2 linked regions of the Tamandua tetradactyla genome follow. The protein of the gene in region 1 interacts with the protein of each later gene in a biochemical or structural test. Links are inferred from orthologs where the notes say so. Each region holds a gene or a part of one and is shown in the gene's direction. Other genes may lie near its edges.

The links.
Region 2: the proteins of TNFRSF13B (region 1) and TNFSF13 form a complex in vitro, tested with the Homo sapiens proteins (2 studies listed by BioGRID and IntAct). The link is inferred for Tamandua tetradactyla from reciprocal best matches to the Homo sapiens genes TNFRSF13B and TNFSF13.

What each region holds. Positions count from the first base shown.
Region 1 is NC_135332.1:524,059-532,123, reverse strand, and holds the start of TNFRSF13B (tumor necrosis factor receptor superfamily member 13B), read left to right. Parts: upstream 1-4,999; 5' UTR 5,000-5,036; coding exon 5,037-5,055; intron 5,056-8,065. UniProt on the Homo sapiens protein: Receptor for TNFSF13/APRIL and TNFSF13B/TALL1/BAFF/BLYS that binds both ligands with similar high affinity. Mediates calcineurin-dependent activation of NF-AT, as well as activation of NF-kappa-B and AP-1.
Region 2 is NC_135332.1:61,415,196-61,422,869, forward strand, and holds TNFSF13 (tumor necrosis factor ligand superfamily member 13), read left to right. Parts: upstream 1-4,589; 5' UTR 4,590-5,488; coding exon 5,489-5,746; intron 5,747-6,108; coding exon 6,109-6,184; intron 6,185-6,303; coding exon 6,304-6,351; intron 6,352-6,495; coding exon 6,496-6,629; intron 6,630-6,777; coding exon 6,778-6,916; intron 6,917-7,124; coding exon 7,125-7,234; 3' UTR 7,235-7,432; downstream 7,433-7,674. Other genes in the region: TNFSF12 (tumor necrosis factor ligand superfamily member 12), read left to right, coding at 3,268-3,392, 3,586-3,837. UniProt on the Homo sapiens protein: Cytokine that binds to TNFRSF13B/TACI and to TNFRSF17/BCMA. Plays a role in the regulation of tumor cell growth. May be involved in monocyte/macrophage-mediated immunological processes.

The sequences.
Region 1 (8,065 bases):
GTAAATTGCAATAATGAAAATTGGGGCTTTCACTGCATTTCTAAGAAATACCCTTTTTTTGGACACTTTTGCTTTTGTCTTGCTCTGGCGGGTGGCGGGAGAAGTGTCCCCAGCGAGGTCCCAAGGGCCTGCGAGGGGCGGCGAGCGGCCCTGACAGAAACTCTCACTGCCCAGATGCCACATATAGAACAGGTTGAGGAACTTAGGAGAAGCCATTTCACAGCTGTCCCTGTTTAAATCTGAGCTGCTCACTGGCAAACACCGGCCAAAAGCCTCCCTCCCCAGGACGAGAAACCCCGCGTCAGTCAGAAGGTAAAACACGTGTGGTGAGCAGACAAAGGTCGAGAACAGTCGCTGCAGCGGGGCAGGGGGTGAGAACAGTCGCTGCAGCGGGCAGGGCTGCAGAAGGCTCTGCTGTCACCACTGTCTCTGCACTTTAAGAGCACGTTGAAACAGACAGACGATCGGCTGTGTGTGCCAGGAAAGAAAGGAAGAGGCTGAACACAGCGTTCAGTGCACAGAGGGCCATGGCTGTGTGAGAAAGGGGGTGGGGCAAGGCAAAGCAGATAATGCGGTTACTCAGGAAGGCTCCCAAATGCCTGGGCTTGCCGGACAGCGCGGGGACAAGCTCTGCCGATGGCCAGGGCCTCTGCGTAGGGACTGGGTAATCTCAGCTGGAGAGAAATGTACTTTTCCTTCTGTTCCCTTTTTTCATTTTTTTCTCACCACGAGCACATTTGTTTGGGCAGACGTACATATGCACAGGTGTCAGCTCCGAAAGCCTGGTGGTTTTATTCTGGGCCCCAGATTCCTGCTACCTTGACTGTGAGACGTAAACATGGAATCCTGACTCTTCCACCCGGGACGTGACCCTCAGGGGTGAAAGTTTCCCTGACAACGTGGGGCGGGACTCCCGAGGATGAGCCTGGCCCTGGCACCGTGGGATGGGCAACGCCTTCCTGACCCAAAGGGGGAAAGAAATGTAATAAACTAAGGCATCAGTGGCCAAAAGAAATAAAGTCGACTCGACAGGCTGCTCTGGAGGCTGCCGTCACGCAAGCCTCAGTTAGATAGTGCTGATTCCCATGTCAGCCAAACCCCAACCACCATCACTCCTGTTGACTCTTAAGAACACCTAGGGCTCGAACTGAGACTCTGTAGAGGTTTCATCTCTAGGTTTGCCTCCCTGAAACATATATTCCCAGAGGATTCTTGGATCAGATGACTCCTGAAACCCAGAGGGACCAGCCTCTCCAGAATTATCAATTAGTTCCATCCCCCTCTCCTTCAGTAGACATCCCTTCTCAACATGAAAAAGTCACAACAGACATTGCCCAAAGATCCCTGTAGATTGGGAGAAGGATCAGAGGAGACAAGAGGAGGTATAACAGAGAAAATGGGATTTAACAGATGGAGTATGGCTGCTGAATTACTATATTGATATTCCTTCCAGCCTCCAGGTTCTGGAGCAGCGAGAAGGAAAAACCTGAGATGGTGGAGTGGTAGCCCATGACAAACTCTGGGATCTGTTCTGTAACTACTTGTTGAAGTGTGCTTTGAAAAGTATTTCTTTCTTTACTTTGAGTTTATGTCATTTTTCACAATGAACAATGTTAAAAAATTAGGACCCCGGGTCCTCTGGAGAAAACCCAGAAAGGGCTGCAGAGTGAGGCTTGGGGGGCTCAGAACCCTCCCCTGCTCCGAGGGACCCCACGTGTGCAGGTCCAGGGGCTCACCGGGCCACCCCGCAGTGACACCCCCACATCGTGTGGCCCTTGGGGCTGGTGGGGGCTGGGGTGCTTCCTCCAGGTTATTCTGGGGGCTTGGCGTGGCCCCCCCCGGAGATGCAGCGACACCCCCACCCCCCGCCGAGGCCGCAGCTGGCTTCTGTCCAGTTCATTAATATCCAATATGGAGAGAAAGAGGTGGACATAGGATGAATGCACTTATGCCAAGTGCAGGCACCGTGCGTCTCTGGCAAGGGGCCGGAGGGGTGGCTACCTCCGGGTGGGGTGGGGCGCTTTCTACTGCCTGGAAGGGCCTGAGGGAGCCTTCTGGGGTGCACCTGGCTCGTCTGGGTCCCCAAGGCAGCAGCTCCGAGGGTGGAAGCACGCATGGGGTTTCACTGCATGTAAATTGCACCTCACATCAAAGAAAACGAAACAGTAGGTCAAGTTCCTAACCTCTAAGACAGGTTTGGACAGAAGGGTGACGAAGGAGCGCTGCCCTTCCATTCTCAGCCACCCCAAAAGTTGCGCTGGGTTTCAGGGAGCAGGGGAATCAGAGACATAACCAGGGCCTCACATCCACGGCCAGCTGGCCTCTGAGAAGGGCGCCAGTGCGGCCTCTTCATCAAAGGGTGCTGGGAACTGTGTCCGCACGAGAGAAGGGAGACACCCGTCCCGCAGCGCATTCAAAGGTTGACTCGGGGCGTCCTGCACTTTGGTTACAATCCTCACGGCTTTGGGACTCGAAATATTCATGAAAAAGCATGACCCATTCCGTGGGATCGCAGCCACACAACAATGCATGCTCAGCCGTGCGCGACACAGAAGGGGCTAGGAGGAGAGGCCTAGCTGTGAATTCGGAGGATTCTGGATGAGTTTTGCGTTCTTTCCTTCCTGTGCTTTTCTGATTTCTATACTGCACAATTAACTTTAAAAAAATTTTTTAAATGTTATTTTTCAAACCAAAATGAAAAGGAAAGAACTCAAAATGGATCAAAGACGTAAATATAAAAACCAAGACTATACAATTCCTGGAGGAAAACATCGGGAAGCATGTTCGAGACCACATGCAGGGCAGTGCTTTCCTAGAATTTATACCCAAAGTACAACCAACAAAACAAGAAATAGGGGGCGGGCCACGGTGGCTCCGCAGGTAAGAATGCTTGCCTGCCATGCCCAAGGACCCGGGTTCGATTCCCGGTGCCTGCCCATGTAAAAAAAAAAACAAACAAAAAATAGGTAAACGTGACTTCATCAATTAAAAACTTTTGAGGATCCAAGGACTTTATCAAAAAAGTAAAAAGGCAACCTACAGATTGAAGGAAAAATATTTGGCAACTATATGTATCTGATAAGGGCTTAATATCTAGAATATATAAAGAACTCTGACAACTCAAGAAAGACAAACAACCCAAATAAAATGGGCAAAAAATTTCCATAAAAATTTCTCCAAAGAAGATATATAAATGGCTAGTAAGCTCATGAGAAGATGCCTCACATCTTTAGCCATCAGAGAGATGCAAATAAAACCACAAGATAGCCTTTCATACCTACTAAAATGGTTACTTTAAAAAAAAAAGGAAAATGACAAGTGTGGGAGAGGATGTGGAGAGACAGGAACCCGAGGCACTGTTGCGGGGTGTAAAAGAGTGCAGCTTCCGTGGAAAACAGTTCGGTGGTTCCTCGGAAAGTCAAGTATCGAGTTCCATATGACCTGGCAATTCCGCTTCTAGGAGTGAACCCAAAAGAACTGAAAGCAGGGGCTCAAACAGGTATTTTCACACGGAAATCCACAGTGGCCTTCTTCGCAGTTGGAACCCACATGCCCCTCAACCGATGAACGGCTAAACAAAGGGCGGTGCAGATGTACAGCAGGATATTATTAGCTGTGAGAAGGAAGGAAGTTCTGATACATGGATGGACCTTTAAGGCATGTTGAGTGAAAAAACTCAGGTACAAAAGGACAAATAAGCAAATTCATAGAGGCCGAAATGATGATTCAAGTTACTAGTCACAGGGGCCGGGATGGGGAAAGGGGAGTTACGCTTGGCTGGCGTGGAGTTTTCTGTTTGGGGTGATGAAAGAGTTTTGATAATGGATGATAGTGATGGAGGCACAACTTTGTGAATTTAATTAACACCCCTGAATTGTATCATTGAACGTGGATAAAATGGGAAATTTTATGCTATTTGTTACCAGAATAAAAGCTTTAAAAACAAACAAGCAAAAAGAAATAACATCACGAGATTATTGCACAGCAGCTCTTTGTCAAAATGTGTCATGTCTGTGTAATTTAAATATAAATTAAATTTTGAGCCCCTCAAAACAATGTTTAATTCCCAGGTGGTGTTTAATTCTACTCCGCATAGAATTTAGAAGACAGTACTTTTTATGTGTCCACATCTTGTTACCTGAGGCCAGCGCATGGGCGAGAGGAGAGAGGGGCAGGCCACCCGCCCGCCCCCAGGGGGCACAGATGGATGATTTCTGCTTCCTTCTAGCTTTTGTGGGAAGGTTGCTAAGATTTGGAGAAAAGGAGCAGGTAGGGCAAATTGCCTTTACCTGTCGGATCGGCCTGTTTTGGCTGCAGAATAAAAATTGTACCTGGAAGTACGTGGGATGTGTTAGAGTAAGACTGGAGATTTCAGAGTTAAGAAGGTTACAACAGTGTAGTAAGAGCTTTCTGTCCTGGCTCTGTTTATTGGGAACTGACTCCAGGCCAAGGACTCATGCTAAGAACTTTATTGGGTTAACTCACTTCCTTCTCATCACCGTGAGGACAAGAAAATGGAGGCCCAGAGCGGGTAAGGAAACTGCCCTTGGCCACCAGCCGGTAAGCAGCAGAGCCAAGATTCAAACCCCGTCTGCCTGTCTCTGGGTTTGTCCTCTCCAGCGCTTTCATAGGGTTAGAGGCAGCCCAGAGAGTGGCACTGACCTTGGTGGGGGCAGTCAGGGAGGGCTTCCCAGAGGAGGTGACCCCTCCACCTAGCCTGGAAGAAGGAGGAGGAGGAGGCGACGAAGCAGACATGGGGAAGGGTTGAGTTCAGGACAGAGTTTACTCTACATCCCAGGCATGAGCAGGGCCTTGGCTCCCTGCTTGCACATAGTAGGTGCTCAGGCGCAGATGGGGTGGGATTCCAGGGGCACCGTGGGAGGGGGCGGAAGGAGCCCCAGCTGGGCTGCTCTGGGCCTGGTAGCGCAGGCGCGGGGCAGGCGGGGGCTGCTGATTTACATCTCATGGGTGGGGGAAAACCCAGACAGGGCTACCGAGGCACCAGCCACCCCACGGCCAGACCCGCGTCCCGAGGGATGAGCCTCGCCGCGCGCTGTGAGTACCTGGGTGGGTGCGGGCAGCCTGACCCTACCCCGGCCCTGCCTGCTGGGAGCCCAGACCCTGGGAGCCGGGGCGGGGGGGGGGAGCAGGCAGTCCAGGGAAGGGGGTCGAGGCCGGACTGGACGTGGCCCTTCTCAACGCTTCATTTTAAAGCTGCAGCTGCAAAGAGCCAGCAGGGAGCGGGAAAGAAGCCCGCAGACGCCCCCAGCTTCTGTAATGGCCTGTGTCCAGCCAGCTGTCCATCACCGGGCCCCCCATTCCCCTCTCGTCGCCCCGGCATTACTTTAAAGCTAACGAACAGCGCGTCATTTGGTGAGGGTTTACTCAGGGTGTGTCTCCCAAACACAAGGGCCCAAAAAACCGGACTCACCGTCGTGCCACCCACTTTCCTTCATGCCGCTAGACGCCGGGCAGCTCCCGGGCGGTCCTGGCTGCCTTATAAATCTAGTCCCGCTCATTCACTGAAACGGGGGTCTGCATAGAGCCCACCTTTGGTTACTTTTTTTTTTCTTCAGATCCTTTATAAAAACAACAACAACAAAACGTTGGTAAAATTTGTCATAAATTTCTATGTGTCTTCAAATGTCCCATTTTGACCACCTTCAAGTGTGCGATTCGGTCGCATTAATTTCAAGCACAGCATCGTGCTTTCGTTTTAGTTGGAGACAGTTCCCGCTCCTTTTTTTGTATTTTGCCTTGCTCCTTCTCTGGTGAAGAAACTGGGTCCCATGGAATTTTTTCAGGGCGGGCTGTATGGGCTGATTTGAAGATGCAATTTTGCTGGGAGTGTAAGTAACTAACACGGGCTGTGCCCAAGGCCCGGGGCTGGTGGGGCCTGGGGCTGCCCAGCACAGCCTCCAGCTGCTCTCGGCCACCCTCTCTCCCCCACCTCGGGAGGCACGTGTCCCTTCGCTGACCCCCTGTGTGTCCAGCGGCCGTGCCCCCACACATTTCTGAGAGCTGGACAGGGTAGCGAGTAGGGATGGCTCGGCTGGCACCATAGGGCAGGGACCAGCCCAGGGCCACGCTGGTGGGGGCGAAGCCACGTGTGCAGGATGGTCAGCCGCGACTCCCGGCAGGGCCCAGGGGACCTGCTTTGCGCTCCCCTGCTCGCAGACCCACCCTGGGGCCTGGAACAAGCTCCCTCCCCTGCTGGGCCTCCACTTCCTCCACCTTAAAATGAAGGGCCTCTGGCCTGCCAGAGGGTCCCCCAACCAGAAAGGGCTTGGTACCTGCCAAAGCACCCCTTGAAGAGTCACAAGCAAAGGCTTTGAGAAGGCCTGCAGTCAAAAAAAAAAAAGGCCTTGATTCTCTTCAGCGCAGCACTTTTCAGCCTAAGCTGGCAGGGGAGCTGTTTTTGTGGGTCACTGTGACGAAGCCCAGGCAGTTTGGGGAAACGGGGCAGCTCCTTTGAGACCCGGCCCTTGCCTCTTGGCTCCTCTCTGCTCTCTGTGGCCCCGGAGACTCTCCGCTGCTTCATCCTGGCTGGACCCTGGGGCCCAGCCCAGCCCCCAGCCCCGGCGAGTGGAAGCGCGTTCTCCCCTGGCCCCTTTACCTCTCCCGGGCTTCTTTCTCCAGCCTCTCCCCAGCTGGGCCCTCTTTGGGGGTGGATGATGGTTCTGGGGTTTTCGGGGTTTAGGTGGTGGTAGAGAGGAAGCAGGGACGACCTTCCCGCCCACAGCCGCCCCGGGCTGTGTGTGTGTGTGTGTGTGTGTGTGTGTGTGTGCATGCGCGTGCATGTGCATGCGTGTGTGTGTGCATGCATGTGTGTGCACGTGTGTGTGTCAGAGAGAGTGAGACGCCCTCCCTGCCACTCCCCCTTCAGGTGGGAGGGGAGCAGGGTCTCTTTCACTTTATCCATTCCTGGTGATTTTTTTGAGGGGCATTTATTCATTAAAAAAAAAAATTTTTTGTATGCTGTATGACAGGGTCACATTTCATTCTTTTTCCATGTGAATAATCCGTTATTGCGGCACCATTTGTTGACTTTTTATTTGTTTTTTCTTTGTTTCGGTTGTTTGTTTTTGGGGGAAGTGCATAGACCGGTAATCGAACCCGGGTCCCTCACATGGCAGGTGAGAGCTCCGCCACTGAACCACCCTTACACCCCCTCATTTATTCAGTTTTAAACATTATTTATTGTGAGATCTAGCATATACACAGGAAAAGCAATGCATTTTAAAGTACATTTCAACAAGCGGTTATACAACAGATTTCTAAGTGTAGTATGGGTTGCAGTTCCACAATTTCAGGTTTTCCCTTCTAGCTCCTCCTGGTGATTTCTAAACAGGTGGCATACCACGTGATTTGAAAACCAGAAAGTATAGGAAGAATACAGAAAAAACTCCTCCTTTCTTTTTGTTCCCCATCCCCAGTTCCTGCCTCCCCTGACGGCTTTATTGGGATATAATTTCACCCCATGAAGTTCTCCTGCTTAAGGTGTGTGGCTAAATGCTTTCAGTGCAGTGACAGAGGTGAACTGCCACTCACCATAATTCAGTTTTAGGGCATTTTTATCCCCCACCCCCCACCCTGAGGAAATACCAGTCTCCTTTCCGTCTCTGCAGTTTTGCCAGTTCTGGGCATTTCATATAAGTGGAACCTACAATACCTGGTGCTTTGTGGCTGCTTCTTTCACTAAGCATAATGTTTTCCAGGTACATCCAGGTTACAGAAAATATCAGTACGTCATTCCTTTCTGTGACCAAATAAGCTTCACTGTGTGGTTAGAACACATTTTCTTTATCCATTATCTGTTAATGGACACGGTGAGTTGTTGCCACTTCTGGGCTCTTGTGGACAATGCTTCCGTGAGCATTGGTGTCCAGGTTTTGTGTGGCCCACGTTTTCCTTTCTCCTGGGTAAACAGAGACCCAAGTGGAATTGTTGGTTCCTGTGGCAACTGTGTTTAACATTTTGAGAAACTGCCAAATGTTTTTCAAAGGGGCTGCACCGTTTTATAATCCCAAAAGCTACATATGAGGGTTCCAGTTTCTCCACATCC
Region 2 (7,674 bases), about 61 Mb from region 1:
GCTAATCCCATGGCCAGGAATGCCCCCTCCCTGCTACTTGTCATGCTCCAGGCTAGTCTTCTTCCCCTCTGCATGCACCACTTATTTTAGCAGTGACCCAACCATTCATTTGTTTGTTCATTCATTAATTCAACACACATGCACTGAGAGACTACGGTGTGTTAGGGAATGGGCCAGCATGACCACATAAGACTCAGGCCTATCCTCAAGGAGTCACCGTGTAAGAGAGGAGTTAGGCATACAAATGTGCAATTATATTACAATACAACGAGTTTAATAATGCAATAGCTGAAGATACCTGGTGGTATAGAGGAAGACAAACTTTACAATGGCATTCAGGACTCTTTCCCCAAGAAAGTGGGGCTTCGTTGGGCCTTGGAGCCTGAGCATAAGATGGACAAAGGGTTCAGGACATTACAGATAAAAGGAAGCACTTGTACAAAAGCCCTGAATTCTCCAAGAGTGTGATGAGGCTGGGGGACTGTGAGAAGTTCAGTGTGGCCAAAGCTGAAAGTACTGGAGGGACAGGACAGGGTAGGAGGCTGGAGAAGAGGACAGAAGCCAGGTCGCAAAAGGAGTATGGGAGTTATTTAGAGGTGAGCCATCAAAAGAATAAGGGCAAGGGGCGGCAGGATCAAATCTGCCTTTTAGAAACATCACTGTGGCCTTGTGTGTGCAGGGAGTAAGCTGGAGGAGACAAGATTGGAAGTAGGAGGCCCGAAGCAGAGTAGTCCCATGAGAAATGTCAGAGAATAGGCTTGGGACAGAGTTGGGAAAGTCATTTAGGAGGCAAAATTGTTGGGAACTGATGATCAATGAATAAAGTTGGCATTATAGGAGAGGAAGGGTGAAACCAGAGCCAAAAATGTAATACAGACAGTAAAGCAAGTTTGAAGTGGGGTGAGGGACAAGCGCGGTGTGACCAAGATGAGTTTGAGGTGCCCACAGCTATCAGATGGCAGCATTTAGCAGGGCAAGGAAGGGCAGGACACTTCAGGGTTGGAAACTCAGATCTGTCTACAAAGTTTCGCTCATGATACACCCATCATCAGTAGTGATAATGTCCAACCAGAGTATGTGGCTTGAAAGTGATAAGGACAGAGGAAGCAGCTGCCAAGTCTCCTTGAGTCTTGCTGGTGAGGACCAGGGGAGAGACCCATGAACCCAAGCAAAAGCTGCCAGCCCTTTTCACCTCCTTCCCTCTGTCTTCCCAGCAATACTGACTGGGTACCTGCTGAGACTAGGCCTGTCCCCAGACGCCAGAGACTGGAAGCCAGACAAGGTTGCCCCTGCTCTCGCAGGGGAGTTACACCCCAAACTAACACGTACATAAACAAATTAGATAATTTCCACTGCTGGCGACTGCTCTGAAAGACATAGGGTGATGTGAAGAGATCAATAGGGGCAGGAATGGGACTGGTTATTTTAAACTGGGTGCCTGGGAAGGTCTCTCAGATGAGTTGAGACCTGACAGATAGAAGGTACCGGAAGCAACCCAAGTGCCTATCAACTAGATGAATGGATAAATAAAATGCAATGGAATATTATGCAGCCAAAAAAGGAATGAAGTTTTGATGCACACTACAACATGGCTGAATCTTGAAGATGCAATGTTGAGTGAAATAAGCCATATACAAAAGAAGAAATATTTTCTGATCTCACTTATATGAAATAATTAGAATATGCAAATTCAGCATCAGAAATTAGAATATGGGTTACAGAGACTGGGGGAGGGGTGGGGAGTTAAGGCTTGATGGGAACAGAGTTTCTGTCTGTGGTGATGGAAGGGTTTTGGTCGTGGCTGCTGGTGATGAGAACACAACAGTGTGACTGTAGTTAACACCGCTGAGTTGTATACTTGAGAGTGGTAAACATGGGAGATTTTATGTTGGGCATATGTTACCACAATAAAAATAAGGAAGGGAGGGAGGGAAGAAAGAAGGTGCCAGCTAGGAGAGGAACCCTGGGAGCGTGTCTGAGAAGGAGTGTGGCATGTGAGAAGGAACAGAGAGAAGGCCAGAGTGGCTGGAGCCTTGTGAATTGGAGTGCAGGTGTGAGATGAGATTGGCGAGGTAGGTGGGCAGACCAAAGAAAACCTGGGAAGCCATGAGATACACTGCTTTATCATTTTATTATTATTGTTATTTTTCAATTTGCAATTACTCCAGCTCTAGAGGGTTTTTGTTGTTTTTTTTTTTTTTTTTTTTTTTTAAAGGAAGGAAAGACAGAGAAGGAAGGAAGGATGGAAGGAAGGAAAGGAGGAAGAAAGGGAAACATTTTTAAACATTTTCTTGTTTTTTTTTATTATATTTTGTTTGTTTGTTTGTTTTTTACATGGGCTGGGGCCGGGAATCGAACCGGGGTCCTCCGGCACGGCAGGCAAGCACTCTTGCCCGCTGAGCCACCGCGGCCCGCCCTGTTGTTGTTGTTTTGGAAACAGCTTTATTGAGATATAATTCACATGCCATGAATGGATAAGCAAAATGATTTTTAGCATATTCACTGAATTTTTGTTCAGCCAGCACACGATCGATTTTAGTTCATTCTCTTCACCTTGGAAAGCAACACCATGTCCTTTAGCTGTCACCTCTCAAGCTCCCACACCCCAATCCTTAGCAATCACTAATCTACTTTCTGTCTCTACATCTTTGCCTAGTCTGGGCACTTCATATAAATGGAGTCATATAATATGTGGTCCTTTGTGACTGGTTTCTTTCACTTAGCATAAAGTGTTTTCAAGGTTCATTCATGTTGTAGGCTAGATCAGAACTTCATTCTTTTTTTATTGCCCAATAATATTCCACATTTTGTTTATCCGTTCCTCAATTGATGGATATCTGGATATGACTTTATTTTTAATAATTCAGGTAATGTATGTATGCTTCGATTAATGTATGTGTACATTCTCAATGTAAACGAGGCAAACAATATAGACGTAGATGAAATAAAGTATAAAAAAAGTGTTGTCTTCACCACCACCGCTGCCCCGCTTCTCCTTCGATCCAACTCGTCTCCCCAGAAGTGACTACTGAGGACAATTTGCTCTCTATTTTCTGGTCCTTTCCTTTGCATGTTTAATCAGGTACGTGTTGGATTTCTTCACATAACTTTTTCTACCATGTACCAGGCTCCCCCGTTGACCTGGGATCTGTGTATCTTCTGGGTCATTTATGCTCCTAACATTTGTAAAGTCGGTGGATCCCTGCGGAGCGTGGGGCGGTCCTGTAAAGGGACTTTTCCTTATCTCTCAACACCAACAATGGTCAGGTGTGGACGGGACAGTGCGTGGCTGGGAAGAGGCCAAAATCAACAGCTCCAACCCACTGCGTTATGATCGCCAGAGCGGGGAATTCACTGTCACCCGCCCTGGGCTCTACTACCTGTATTGTCAGGTAAGCCCCACTTGGCTCCACGTGGTAAGTGGGGGAGAGGTTTTCTTTTCTCAGGGGTGGGGTGGGGAGAGGTTAGGGGGCCAGCTAAGACTGAAGAGAGAGAGCTTGGGGTCTGGGTGGGATGGGATAGCTGGGTCTCTAAGGAAATCTGAACCAGAGGCAAAGGCAGGCAGCGTCTGGGCCTGCCCCCCAGGTGCACTTTGATGAGGGGAAGGCTGTCTACCTGAAGCTGGACTTGCTGGTGGATGACTCACTGGCCCTGCGCTGCCTGGAGGAATTCTCGGCCACCGCTGCCAGCTCCCTCGGGCCCCAGCTCCGTCTCTGCCAGGTGTCCGGGCTGCTGCCCCTGAGGCTGGGGTCCTCCCTGCGCATCCGCACCCTCCCTTGGGCCCATCTCAAGGCTGCCCCCTTCCTTACCTACTTTGGACTCTTCCAAATTCACTGAGGGGCCCTGGACTCACCGTGGCTTTGCCAGGCTGCTGGGCCCCCACAGCACAAGCACCAGGGTCCCCTCTGCCCCTCTCTCTGTAAGCTGCCAGGGCTCTTTCACTGGGTTCCCTTCCCACATAAATATTCCCATTCTTCTCTTACAGTCTCCCCACCCCTGGCCCCTGGCTCTCCACCTCACTAATTTCCAAACCTCTGGCCTTTCTAAGCCCCATTTATCTCCTGCCCCTGACCCTGGCTTGTAGCCCCAGGACAGTGTGTTTACTGTACTCGTAGGCCAGGATGGGTCGGAAGACCCCTCCTCCAGCACTGAGAGGGGCTGGACCTGGTGGCAGGAAGCCAAGACTAGGGACCTGGGCCAGGAGTTGCCCAGTGTGAGGGATACGAGGGCAAGACAGAGCTCCTCCCCTAACAATTCCCTGTGGATTTTTAAAACAGATGTTATTTTTATTATTATTGCAACAAAAATGTTGATAAGTGGATATTAAAGAAAAGAAGTCATGGGCTGTCTCTTTATTGGGGCTTAATGGACATTTTCAGGGTAGCCAAGTGGCATGGGGAAGGGGGATTCTGGACTTTGGGGAGAGGGGCGCAGGACACCTGGAATAATTCCAGGGGATTGTACAGAACAGGAGTGGGGGAACCTGCGTGTCTCTGACCCCAAGATGTGAGCCCAGAGTGGCAAGGCAGCCTGCCCAGGACAAAATCAGTTCTTGGCCCAAGGTACAGCACAACAGGCCTCATTTACCTAAGAGGCGGACCTCCTCCTGCAGGGGAATCCCTGGCCGGGAGGAGCAGGGGACGCTTCCTCTTGGCCTCGGGCACAGACCCTGGCTGGGATAAGGGTAGGGGCCCAGGGTCAGCAGGTGGGATGCTGGGGGGCCTCGGGAACATGGGGACCCGGGCCCTGGGTCCCAGGGAGGAATCCTACGGTGGCGAGGGTGTCCGGGGCTGCCTCTTTCTCTCTTCATCTATAGCCTTATGTAAGAGCTTTTCTCGGGAAACAGGAAGTCTCCTGCTTGCCAAGTTCAGCCTAGGGAGTAGTGCAAGGCTGATTCCAACACACCCGACCCAGCCTTAACCCCAGGATTTTTTGCTTCTGCGATTGTGATTCTCCTCCCTGCCCCCTCCCACCCCCCAGCTTCAGTCACCCCTAGCAGGTCACCGAGATCTCCAGCACCAGAGCCAGAGAGCCGATGTCAGCCACCTTCATCCCCGACCCTCGCCCCTGCCCAGCTTGTCTTCCATCCCTCCTCCTGGCACCATGCCCTGGAGCCAGCCAACCCTCCCTCCCCCCACTTCTGGGGCGGCCCCAGGGCTCCTGGGCTCAGGCCGCTCCTCCTGGGTGTCATTGGCAGCCCTGTCCTTCCTAGAGGGACTGACACCAGATTCCCCTGAGACTGGGGGGGTGGGGGGGCGGGGGTGGGGTCTCAGGCGACACTGGTCCCACTGCGGGGTACTTGGGAGCACCAGACAATACTCCTTGCTTGCTTTCCTCCTCTGTCCTTTTCACTCTCAAGTTCCTTTTTATCTCTCCCTTGCGTAAGGCCCTTCTTTCCTACTGCACTACTGCCTGCACTCCCATCCTCCCTGCCACCTCCTTGCTACCCCACTCCCGAAGGCACAGCTGTTAGCAGTGTCCCCAGCTCATGCCAGCTTTGTCTCCTGCCTCACTAGCCCCCCAAGGGTTCCCAGGTGACAGGGAGAGCCCGGTCCAAGAGCGGGCACTCTCTCTTGCCCTCTGGTTGAGTTGGGGGGCGGCTCTGGGTGCTGTGGCTTGTGCCATGGCATTGCTGATTCAACAAACAGAGCTGCAAAACCTAAGGAGAGAGGTGGCCTGGCTGCAGAGGACTGCAGGCCCTCCCCAGAAGGGGGAGGGGTACCCCTGGCAGAGCCTCCAGGAGCAGGTAAGTGAGAACAGAACAATGTCTGGAAGAGAGGGATGGGTGGCAGGGGTTCTCTGGGCTTCTCAGCTCCTGCCTCCTGGTGGGCAAAGTTTTAAGCAGATTCAGAAGAGGGTCACTGGGTTTGGAAGGCAAGAGAGTGGCCATTTGAGGAAAGGAAACTGTTAAAGATTAATGCTTCTGATACCTAATAGATCCTGGAGGACAGCCAGTACTGAGACTGAGGGGGCTGGGGAAAGGGGCAGGGGACATCTGAGGCATTCCTGGGGCACAGGGTGGGGTGGTGGTGGTGGGGAATGGTCTGGGAGGGAAGGCTCTCTGGGGCCTTTGCGTCTTGGCATAACTGACCCTCTTTCCATATGCAGAGCCCTGATGACCTGGGAACCTGGAATGGGGGGAGATCCCGGAGAAGGAGAGCAGTGCTCACCCACAAACAGAAGAGTGAGGCCTCTGGGGTGCAGGAGGGGTGGGAGGTGACCAAGCAGCATGGGGTCTGTTGCCCAGGGCTGAGACAACAGGATTGGGTGGCAGGCCCTACTGAGATCTCCTTTTCTCCTCAGAGAAGCACTCAGTTCTGCACCTTGTTCCCGTTAACATCACCTCCAAGGGTGAGCACTGTTTTAAAAATGACTTGGTGGGAGGGGTAAGACCTGGGAACCTGGGGGCTGGCAGCGGGGCTCCAGAGAATCATAGAGGTAAAAAGGTGAGAGTCACCAAAGTGTCTGAGAGTGCAGAGGAATCTTAACTGTCAGGCTCCTCACCTCCAGAGGACTCTGATGTGACAGAAGTGATGTGGCAACCAACTCTTAAGCGTGGGAGAGGTCTTGAGGCCCAAGGATACGTTGTCCGAGTCTGGGACACTGGAATTTATCTGCTGTATAGCCAGGTAACCCCAACATACCCTGATCCTCACCGGGGGGCCTGGATACCTCTGTCCATATCAACTTGAGAAGACCCCCTCCAGCCTCCCATCTTGGGGCTTCTGAAGCCTCCTAGAACTAAGTCTCTGAAACATCTCCCTCCTGCCCTGCCAGGTCCTGTTTCATGACGTGACCTTCACCATGGGCCAAGTGGTGTCTCGGGAGAGCCAGGGAAGGCAAGAGACTCTGTTCCGATGTGTGCAAAGTATGCCCTCCAACCCCGACCGGGCTTACAATAGCTGCTACAGTGCAGGTGAGAGCCACTGGGCAGTGGAGGCGGCTGAGGAGAGCAGACATGGCGCTAATGGGGAACTATGATGGGGAAGATTTGCGGAAGAAAGGACAAAATATCTAGGTCCTTACTGACGGCAGAAAAAAGCTGGAGCTGGAGAAGGGAGGGTGAGGTAGAAGAGTGTCGGGATGGCTACTTTACTGAGCATCTATTTTCTCTCTTTCCTCAGGTGTCTTCCATTTATATCAGGGGGATATTCTGAGTGTTATCATCCCTCGAGCAATGGCCAAACTCAGCCTCTCTCCACATGGCACCTTCTTGGGGTTTGTGAAACTATGATTGTGCTGTAAAAGGTGGAAGCTTAGGGTGGGTAGTATTGGAAATAGCAGACTTGACTAGACAAAGGCCTCGGACAGGGCGGAGAGAGGCCTCTTCCTAGGTTCACCTTCACTACTCTCCCTTTCCTTTTACCTTTCCACCCCCATCCCCTCAGCTTTGGTTTCGTGGATATTAAAGAGGGCCAATATCTTGCTTTTATCCTCCATCCAGTCCCAAATTCTTGTGTGTGGTGGAGTGGGGTGGGGTGGGGGTGTGGGTGCCAGGCATTGTCCCACTGGAATGGTTCCAGAACAGCACCGCCATCTGGCGGCAGCCTGAGGGATTCGCCTGCCTAATGGCAGAAGTCCAGGAAGCCACCTTCCACTCAGGAAAGTTCCAGGCTCACCGTGCCGCCCCTCTCTCCAGGCACCCTGCCTCTTCACCCCTCAAGAGACCTCATC